2 linked regions of the Tribolium castaneum genome follow. The protein of the gene in region 1 purifies or fractionates together with the protein of each later gene. This does not show direct contact. Links are inferred from orthologs where the notes say so. Each region holds a gene or a part of one and is shown in the gene's direction. Other genes may lie near its edges.

The links.
Region 2: the proteins of Nurf-38 (region 1) and Iswi fractionate together in Drosophila melanogaster (co-fractionation; 4 studies listed by BioGRID, with this or other methods). This does not show direct contact. The link is inferred for Tribolium castaneum from reciprocal best matches to the Drosophila melanogaster genes Nurf-38 and Iswi.

What each region holds. Positions count from the first base shown.
Region 1 is NC_087397.1:12,922,787-12,926,734, forward strand, and holds Nurf-38 (inorganic pyrophosphatase), read left to right. Parts: upstream 1-1,137; 5' UTR 1,138-1,249; coding exon 1,250-1,418; intron 1,419-1,508; coding exon 1,509-1,624; intron 1,625-1,676; coding exon 1,677-1,947; intron 1,948-1,994; coding exon 1,995-2,212; intron 2,213-2,269; coding exon 2,270-2,328; intron 2,329-3,563; coding exon 3,564-3,673; intron 3,674-3,719; coding exon 3,720-3,769; 3' UTR 3,770-3,809; downstream 3,810-3,948. Other genes in the region: CYP6BQ13 (cytochrome P450 monooxygenase), read right to left, coding at 827-868. UniProt on the Drosophila melanogaster protein: Component of NURF (nucleosome remodeling factor), a complex which catalyzes ATP-dependent nucleosome sliding and facilitates transcription of chromatin.
Region 2 is NC_087402.1:7,785,145-7,789,134, reverse strand, and holds the start of Iswi (chromatin-remodeling complex ATPase chain Iswi), read left to right. Parts: upstream 1-1,184; 5' UTR 1,185-1,348; coding exon 1,349-1,399; intron 1,400-1,480; coding exon 1,481-2,062; intron 2,063-2,416; coding exon 2,417-3,667; intron 3,668-3,900; coding exon 3,901-3,990. Other genes in the region: uncharacterized protein LOC660873, read right to left, coding at 338-859, 908-910.

The sequences.
Region 1 (3,948 bases):
ACTAATTATAATTCAACAATGAATGATAATAACAATGTTGCCAATTCAAAAAAATGAATTTAATAATTTTTGAGTTTATTGTGATACGCACCGAATGAATTGCAAAATTACATTTAAATCTCTCTAATTGGTTTTAACTTAAGCGTAATAAAATGTAAAAATAATACTGTTTTTGACATTTTCGTTTTGGTTGTGCGATATCTTACAAAAACATTAGTTCATAAACGTGTTTTACTATTTTAAGTGTACAAAAGATAAAATAACACCGTTTTCCGACCAAATTGAGTGGTTATTTTAACAAAATTTTACGCACAAAAAACCAAGTAAATTAAGTAAAACACGTAAAATCTCATCAGATTTTTTACAACAATTTTTTCAAATGAGTTTTAGACATATCTGGATGAGTGGATAGTTTTGAAATTTTTTTTTTTTTTCTAAAATGTAGTTGCAGAGGTATTTTAATTTTGCATACTAAATGAGTCGATCGGATTGAAAACAGTAATTTCGGTTCACTTTCATAAAAACCATTGTGATGGAATTGACTAACCTGTTACCATGACAACTCGTATAAAATTTAATACTAAGAGTATCCAATTTCCACCACAATGGTTTTAATGGAAGTGAACCGAATATACTTAAAAACACTTAGAACATTACTATACAAAATTTTGGAAAATTTTGTTTTACATTTAGTAATTTTTACTTTTCGAGAATTTTTGAAATGCAATTGGCGACATTTCACCAGACTTGGCAACACTGGATGATGAGTTTTTGTCGCCATTACAGCGCCATCTTCTAACACTAGTTGTAGTAAATTGGTGTTTACCGAAGATTTCTGCAACGAGCGAAACCTGTGAGCAAAACGCATTGCTGACTTCAAGGTGATAAGACTGATAAGTTTCCTACGTGCGAATTGTTGAACCTTGGAATTTAATCGAAAATCGTTATCACCAGAAACTCTTAAGATAAACTGATATCAATCTGTAATTGGAAAAACAACTCCAAATTACTCACCATGGTCAATGTTAGACAAATATTTATTTTTTCGACCAATAGTTTTTAATTAGTTGTTATGTAACTTTTAGTTTATTTAATTTTAAGCCAGTGAAATGTGATAAGTTTTGTTGTTTATTGTAGTTGGTGAGTACAGTATCTGTACCTGTACGTATTTCCAAATTTTGAATATTTCGCGCCTATTTTGTATTGATTAGTTCAACAGTTAGTGCAGTGATTTTGGATAGAGGGGGCAATGGTCGTCCATAAATTCTCACGCGTGTTCGCAGGCGGCTTGCACAAACTATTATCACACCAAAGTCACAGTTTGCGGTGTTTTTCGTCCTCCGGCATTTGTTTCAATATGGCCTATTCTGTTGTTGAAAGAGGATCTCCTTACTCTCCAGACTACAGAGTTTACATCCGTAAGACTAAAATCATATAATATAACCTCTCACAATCCTTGATCTTCATCTTTGACCCCCGACCCTTATCATAGAACTTTTAATTAACAGAAAATCAAAACGGACCAATTTCGCCACTTCACGATGTCCCTTTGGTGGTGGACAGCACCAAAAAAATTTTCAACATGATTGTGGAGGTCCCCAGGTGGACCAATGCCAAGATGGAGGTAAGTCTAAAAAGGCGAAAAGATAAACAGCCATCAGCCAGCCTTCTCTTAGATTACTATGAAGGAGATCTTGAACCCCATCAAGCAAGATGTGAAGAAGGGTAAGCCCAGGTTTGTTGCCAATTGTTTTCCGCACCATGGTTACATTTGGAACTATGGGGCTTTGCCCCAAACTTGGGAAAACCCCGAGCATCTTGATGATGGTACAGGATGCAAGGGGGACAACGATCCCATAGATGTTATTGAAATAGGGTACAGGGTTGCGAAACGGGGGGAAGTCCTTCAGGTGAAAATTTTAGGAACCATTGCGTTAATTGACGAAGGTACAATCAACAAGTGCCGGGTTTTCCTCTAATTATTTTATCCACAGGAGAAACAGACTGGAAATTAATTGCTATAGATGTTAAGGATCCTTTAGCCGATCAAGTGAATGATGTTAGTGATGTAGAGAAACATTTCCCTGGTCTTTTGAAAGCCTCAGTTGAATGGTTTAAAATCTATAAAATTCCAGATGGTAAACCTGAAAATCAGTTCGCTTTTAATGGCGAAGCGAAACCGGCGAGTTTTGCGCTGAAAGTGGTAGATGAGGTATTGATCTATTTCCAAGGATTTTCTAGTGTTATTAAGTTGATGCATTTTTTATAGGTACACCGTTTCTGGAAAGCTTTGGTCAATAAAGAAGTTGATGCCAAGGGCATTTCCTGGTACGTAAAAGTTATGGTGACATTGAGTGTTTCTTTTTATGTTATTATGTTATTTGATTACGGCGTTTTTACCTAAAACTGATAAGTTACAAGGTTGCTAAATTGTTTGTTTCATATTGATTGAATGCTGAAACTTTTAAAACATGACAAGAGTTATCTTTGTTGCCATTATTTTTATACTTGAAGGTAGATCCCATTGTTATGAACAGTAATTTTTCCGTAAATCTACTATTTATTGTTTGAACATCATTATTTGCGCTGTGCTTTGCTTTAATTTATGATTCGTAAATGATAAAGCGTAATCTTAATTATTTGTATTTTTTTAAATGAAGTCATAACCAATTGGTACTGAAATAAAATATCAACTGATTTATTTGCTACCTAAGCAGAAAGTGAGGTGGACCTTTTTGTCTTTTTTTGTTTATGTTGCAATTATTTGAGTTGATTTTAAAGTTATCACTATTTTTTGATAAATTATGTACCGAATATTCCTCGTCCAAATTTTACTCAAGGAGGCGTTTGAACACAAAAAGCATCAGATTTATACTATTTGTTTTGTAAATTTTTAGTTTAAAAAACTAGCTAATAATTAATTTCGTAATAATTAACTTACGTTTTCAAAACGAATGCAATGAATTCATGATTAATGAATAGCCACTTTCGAGTAAATAACTGATATCTTTTTTTGTGATAAAAGTGGAATTGCATTTAATATGCAAAAAACTTCAAGTTCAACATTCCAAACAAATCACCCCATTTATAGTTTTTCTACAAAAACATTCAAATTTACTATTGTTTTCACTTGTTTAATTCTTTATTTAATTCTGTTTTTTAGTTCTCTAACGATCTTGATTTTGCTGGAACGCCAGAAAGCATTTATTTTTTGTATTTTATTCTGGCGTGTTTTGACAAGATCTTGCAAAATAAATGAGTTCTTAATGAAGGCTAAAATTTTTTGGGAAATCTATGCTTTTTCGATATACAAAAAGTTTACTTAATCGATTTGTTTTGCTATTGTCTATCTATCTTTAAAATTTTGCTAAACCATTCCCTAACAGGCTGTATTTAAATATGTAGTTTGCTAATTTTAGTTTTTGAGTTTTTGATTGAAAAATGTGCAAAATTCTCGTATATATAACAACCAGTGGCGGAAGTAATTTTTATCTCGGTTTCTAAATTTCCTTAATAAAAATGTAATTAAGCCATTAATTGATTGCTTTAATTACTTTTTCAAGTGTCAACACTACTATTGAGGGCAATCCATTCAAAATATCAGTCAGTGAGGCTAAAGACGTGATTAACAAAACTCCAGTTTATTCGCAACCGCAAAAGGTCGAACCTATTGGTAAGTCTCTCATAAAATTTGTTTTCTTTTTAATTTAATTTTTTAGTTGATAGAGTTTATTTTGTTAGAAGACTGTGCAATAAATGTAGACTTTAATAAACACTCTCTTCTTCTATTAAATGTTTTATAATACTTATATGTTGTGTTTTTTTTTACAGTGGATAAATGGCATTACGTCCATTTAAAATAAAGAAGATATTAAAAATTGTTACACCCGTGCATTTATTGTTTCTATTTTTTTTCTAAGGGTAAGAGTGTAGCGCATGGTGTTTTTG
Region 2 (3,990 bases), on another chromosome or scaffold:
ATTCAACGTTGTTTTTGATGGTTTAGTAGAAATATATACGAGTTTTTCTTAAAAATAATGCATGAAAATTTGGAAAATGATTAAGACTGAGTTAAGAAGTTACAAATATTAGACTACTTACAATACTGACAATTTGTGCAACGGTGACTAGACGTTTCCAAACAATTAATTGGTACAGGGTGATTCACGCAAGACGACTAGACTAGCCTTACAATTTAATGCAAAACCAAATACATTTTAAACAAATTAAATTGCGAATAGGACAGGAAACTGTGCATTTAATTCTTGTAAGGCTGTCATTTTAGCATTTTACGAAATCACCTGGTATGTTTCCAACTTAGTACAAACTGGTTTTCTTCATAATTCGCAAGAATTCTTCCTGATTGATTTCACCATCTCCATCCCTGTCTGCTTCATCAATCATTTCTTGCAATTCTTCATCTGTGAGATTCTCTCCTAGTTCTTTAGCCACTCTTTTCAGGTTCTTAAAACTGATTTTTCCGGTCTCGTCATCGTCAAACAAGCGAAACGCCTTCATGATCTCCTCTTTCGAATCCTTTTCGGCCATTTTCATGGTCATCAATTGCAAGAAATCATCAAAAGACAGTTTTCCAGTTCCCTGTGTATCAATATCAGCAATCATTTTCTTGATTTCTTCCTTCTTTGGCTCAAATCCCAACGCTCTAATTGCCACCTTCAGGTCTTTGGCGTCGATCTTCCCAGAGCCTTCATTATCAAACAAATCGAACGCCTCTTTAATATCGTTCTTCTGCTCTTCAGTCAACTCAAATTTGGAGCCTGCCATCTTCTTACGAACTGAGGAGAGATTCTTTTTTAAAACAAAGGAAGGGGACGTCGTCTAAAATCAATACTAACGCCTAAGTACTTATTGAAAATAGTCAATTACCATTATCAGGAACGGTTTTATGTTTTTATTCCAAAACTGTTGATGTTGAGATAACACAACCAAACATCCGGCGTTTTAAACAATCTGACAGTCGGGACTACCAACATTTACAAGGCCACCGTCTAAAACGCTTTCACCGCCTTATGAAAAATTGTCTTTTAAAAATTTGTCCACATCATAAAATTCTCTCGTTGTTGTGGGGTGCAGCATGCAATTATTGTTGTATTTTCGCCCGAAAATGGGCTCAAAGTGTGTAGGGATTGTTGGTGTTTCACCAGTTTGACGCATTTGCCCCCAGATGCGGCCGTCCTGCGACTAGTTCGTAGTGTTTCCCGCTACGTATCGCTTCCGAATCATTAAATGAACGGCATTTTTCCAAATTATCGTCGTTAAAAACCAACATTCCGTAGTTTTAGCTAAGAATTTCGCGCACCCAGCACCATGTCCAAAGTGGAAGAAGGCGGTGAAACCGCTGACACTGGTGAGAATTCGGTAAGAGCCTTGTTGTTAAAACAACCACAATAGTAAAAGTAAAAACGGGTCATTGACTCTGCTTTATTTATGAAATTGAAGAATGCCTCGTCTTCGGACACCCTCTCGTCGCGTGGGAAGGGCGAAGACTTCGAGACCAAACTCGAAACGGACCGCAGCCGCCGTTTCGATTACCTGCTCAAACAAACCGAGATTTTCTCCCACTTTATGAACCAAAACAAAACGCCTTCGAAACCGAAATCGGGCCGTCCCAAGAAAATCAAGGAAGACCCAGTGGCGGACCACCGCCACCGCAAGACCGAGCAGGAAGAAGATGAAGAACTGCTGGCCGAAAGCAATGCCAAGGCCAAACCGACGATTCGGTTCGAAGCCTCGCCGCCTTTCATCAAGAACGGGGAAATGAGGGACTACCAAATCCGGGGGCTGAACTGGATGGTGTCTTTGTACGAAAACGGGATCAATGGGATCTTGGCCGACGAAATGGGGCTCGGGAAGACGCTCCAGACCATTTCCTTGCTAGGTTTCATGAAACATTATAAAAACACGCCGTCTCCTCACATTGTGATTGTCCCCAAGTCGACTCTAGCCAATTGGATGAACGAATTCAAGAAGTGGTGTCCCAGCATCCGCGCTGTGTGTCTCATTGGGGACCAAGAGGCCAGGGTAAGACCTGGTTTAGTTTAATTGTGTTTTGACTAAGGTTGGAAAACACAAAGTCCAACCTACGTAAAAATTTATAATATCCAAAAAGAGTGATAGGACAGAGCGCTTTCGCGATTACATTCTTCATCAGTGGCGTAAAAGGGGGCTGGTAACAGGGGGTTAAGGTTAAGGCCTCTTCCTTATCACTGTCAGTACAAAAATGATTAGAAGAGAGAATATGGTTGGAAAAAGTTGAAGCATCTTTATATTTTTCTATGAATTTAAGATGTTTTTCAACCTTAGTCATCATAACAACCCCGCTTTGATAGAATGGATCCTTTAATTCTAATTGTGTTTCGTTAATTATTTTTTTAGAATGCTTTCATTCGGGACGTGATGATGCCAGGCGATTGGGACGTCTGTGTGACTTCGTACGAAATGGTTATCAAAGAAAAATCAGTTTTTAAGAAATTCAACTGGCGCTACATGGTAATAGACGAAGCTCATCGTATTAAAAACGAGAAATCGAAATTATCGGAGATTCTCCGTGAGTTTAAAACAACAAATCGTCTCTTACTCACCGGTACCCCCTTACAAAATAATTTACACGAACTTTGGGCCCTCCTTAACTTTTTACTCCCTGATGTTTTTAACTCTGCTGATGATTTCGACGCTTGGTTTAACACAAACCAGTGTTTGGGTGATAACCAGTTAGTCGAACGCTTGCACGCTGTCTTGAAGCCGTTTCTATTGAGACGTCTCAAATCCGAGGTCGAGAAAAAATTAAAACCGAAAAAAGAACTCAAAGTTTACGTCGGTTTGAGCAAAATGCAGCGCGAGTGGTATACTAAAGTCCTGATGAAGGATATTGATGTGGTAAACGGGGCCGGTAAAGTAGAAAAAATGAGACTACAGAACATTCTCATGCAATTGCGTAAGTGTTCAAACCACCCTTATTTGTTCGATGGGGCTGAGCCTGGGCCCCCGTACACCACCGACGAACATTTAGTCTACAATTGCGGGAAAATGGTGCTTTTGGACAAGCTTCTGCCCAAATTAAAAGAGCAGGACTCGAGGGTTTTGATTTTTTCACAAATGACACGAATGTTGGACATTTTGGAGGATTACTGCCACTGGAGACAGTACAATTATTGTAGATTGGACGGACAGACGCCGCACGAGGACCGGCAACGCCAAATCAACGAATATAATGAGCCAAATAGCTCAAAATTTATTTTTATGTTGTCGACGAGAGCCGGAGGTTTGGGTATTAATTTAGCAACAGCAGACGTTGTCATCATCTACGATTCGGATTGGAACCCGCAAATGGACCTCCAAGCCATGGACAGAGCGCACAGGATCGGCCAAAAGAAACAAGTTCGTGTGTTCAGACTTATCACCGAAAATACAGTCGAGGAAAAAATCGTAGAACGGGCCGAAGTCAAGCTGAGGCTAGACAAGTTAGTGATACAACAAGGGCGTCTAATCGACAACAAATCGCAGTCTTTGAACAAAGACGAGATGTTGAACATGATCCGGCACGGGGCCAATCATGTCTTCGCATCGAAAGACTCGGAAATCACCGATGAAGACATCGACACTATCTTACAAAAAGGCGAAGCAAAGGTAAAATACTTAATTTCCCAGTACTAACAAAGTTCACCTCCTAACTACGTAGGAGACGAAACGAGATCTAATCTACTTTTTTTTATTTGCGTTGTATTCACAGTTATTTAAATACAACCATTTTTTTAATTTATTGAACTATCGAGGAGGTTTAAATTAGTATATCGTTTCGAATCCTCTAGTTATTTGTGCTCCTCCCTGACTATAACATTAATCTAATAAAAAAAAATTAGACAGCGGAACTGGCCCAAAAACTCGAAGCTCTCGGCGAGTCATCCTTGCGCAACTTCACTGTGGACACGCCAACAGAGTCCGTTTACAAG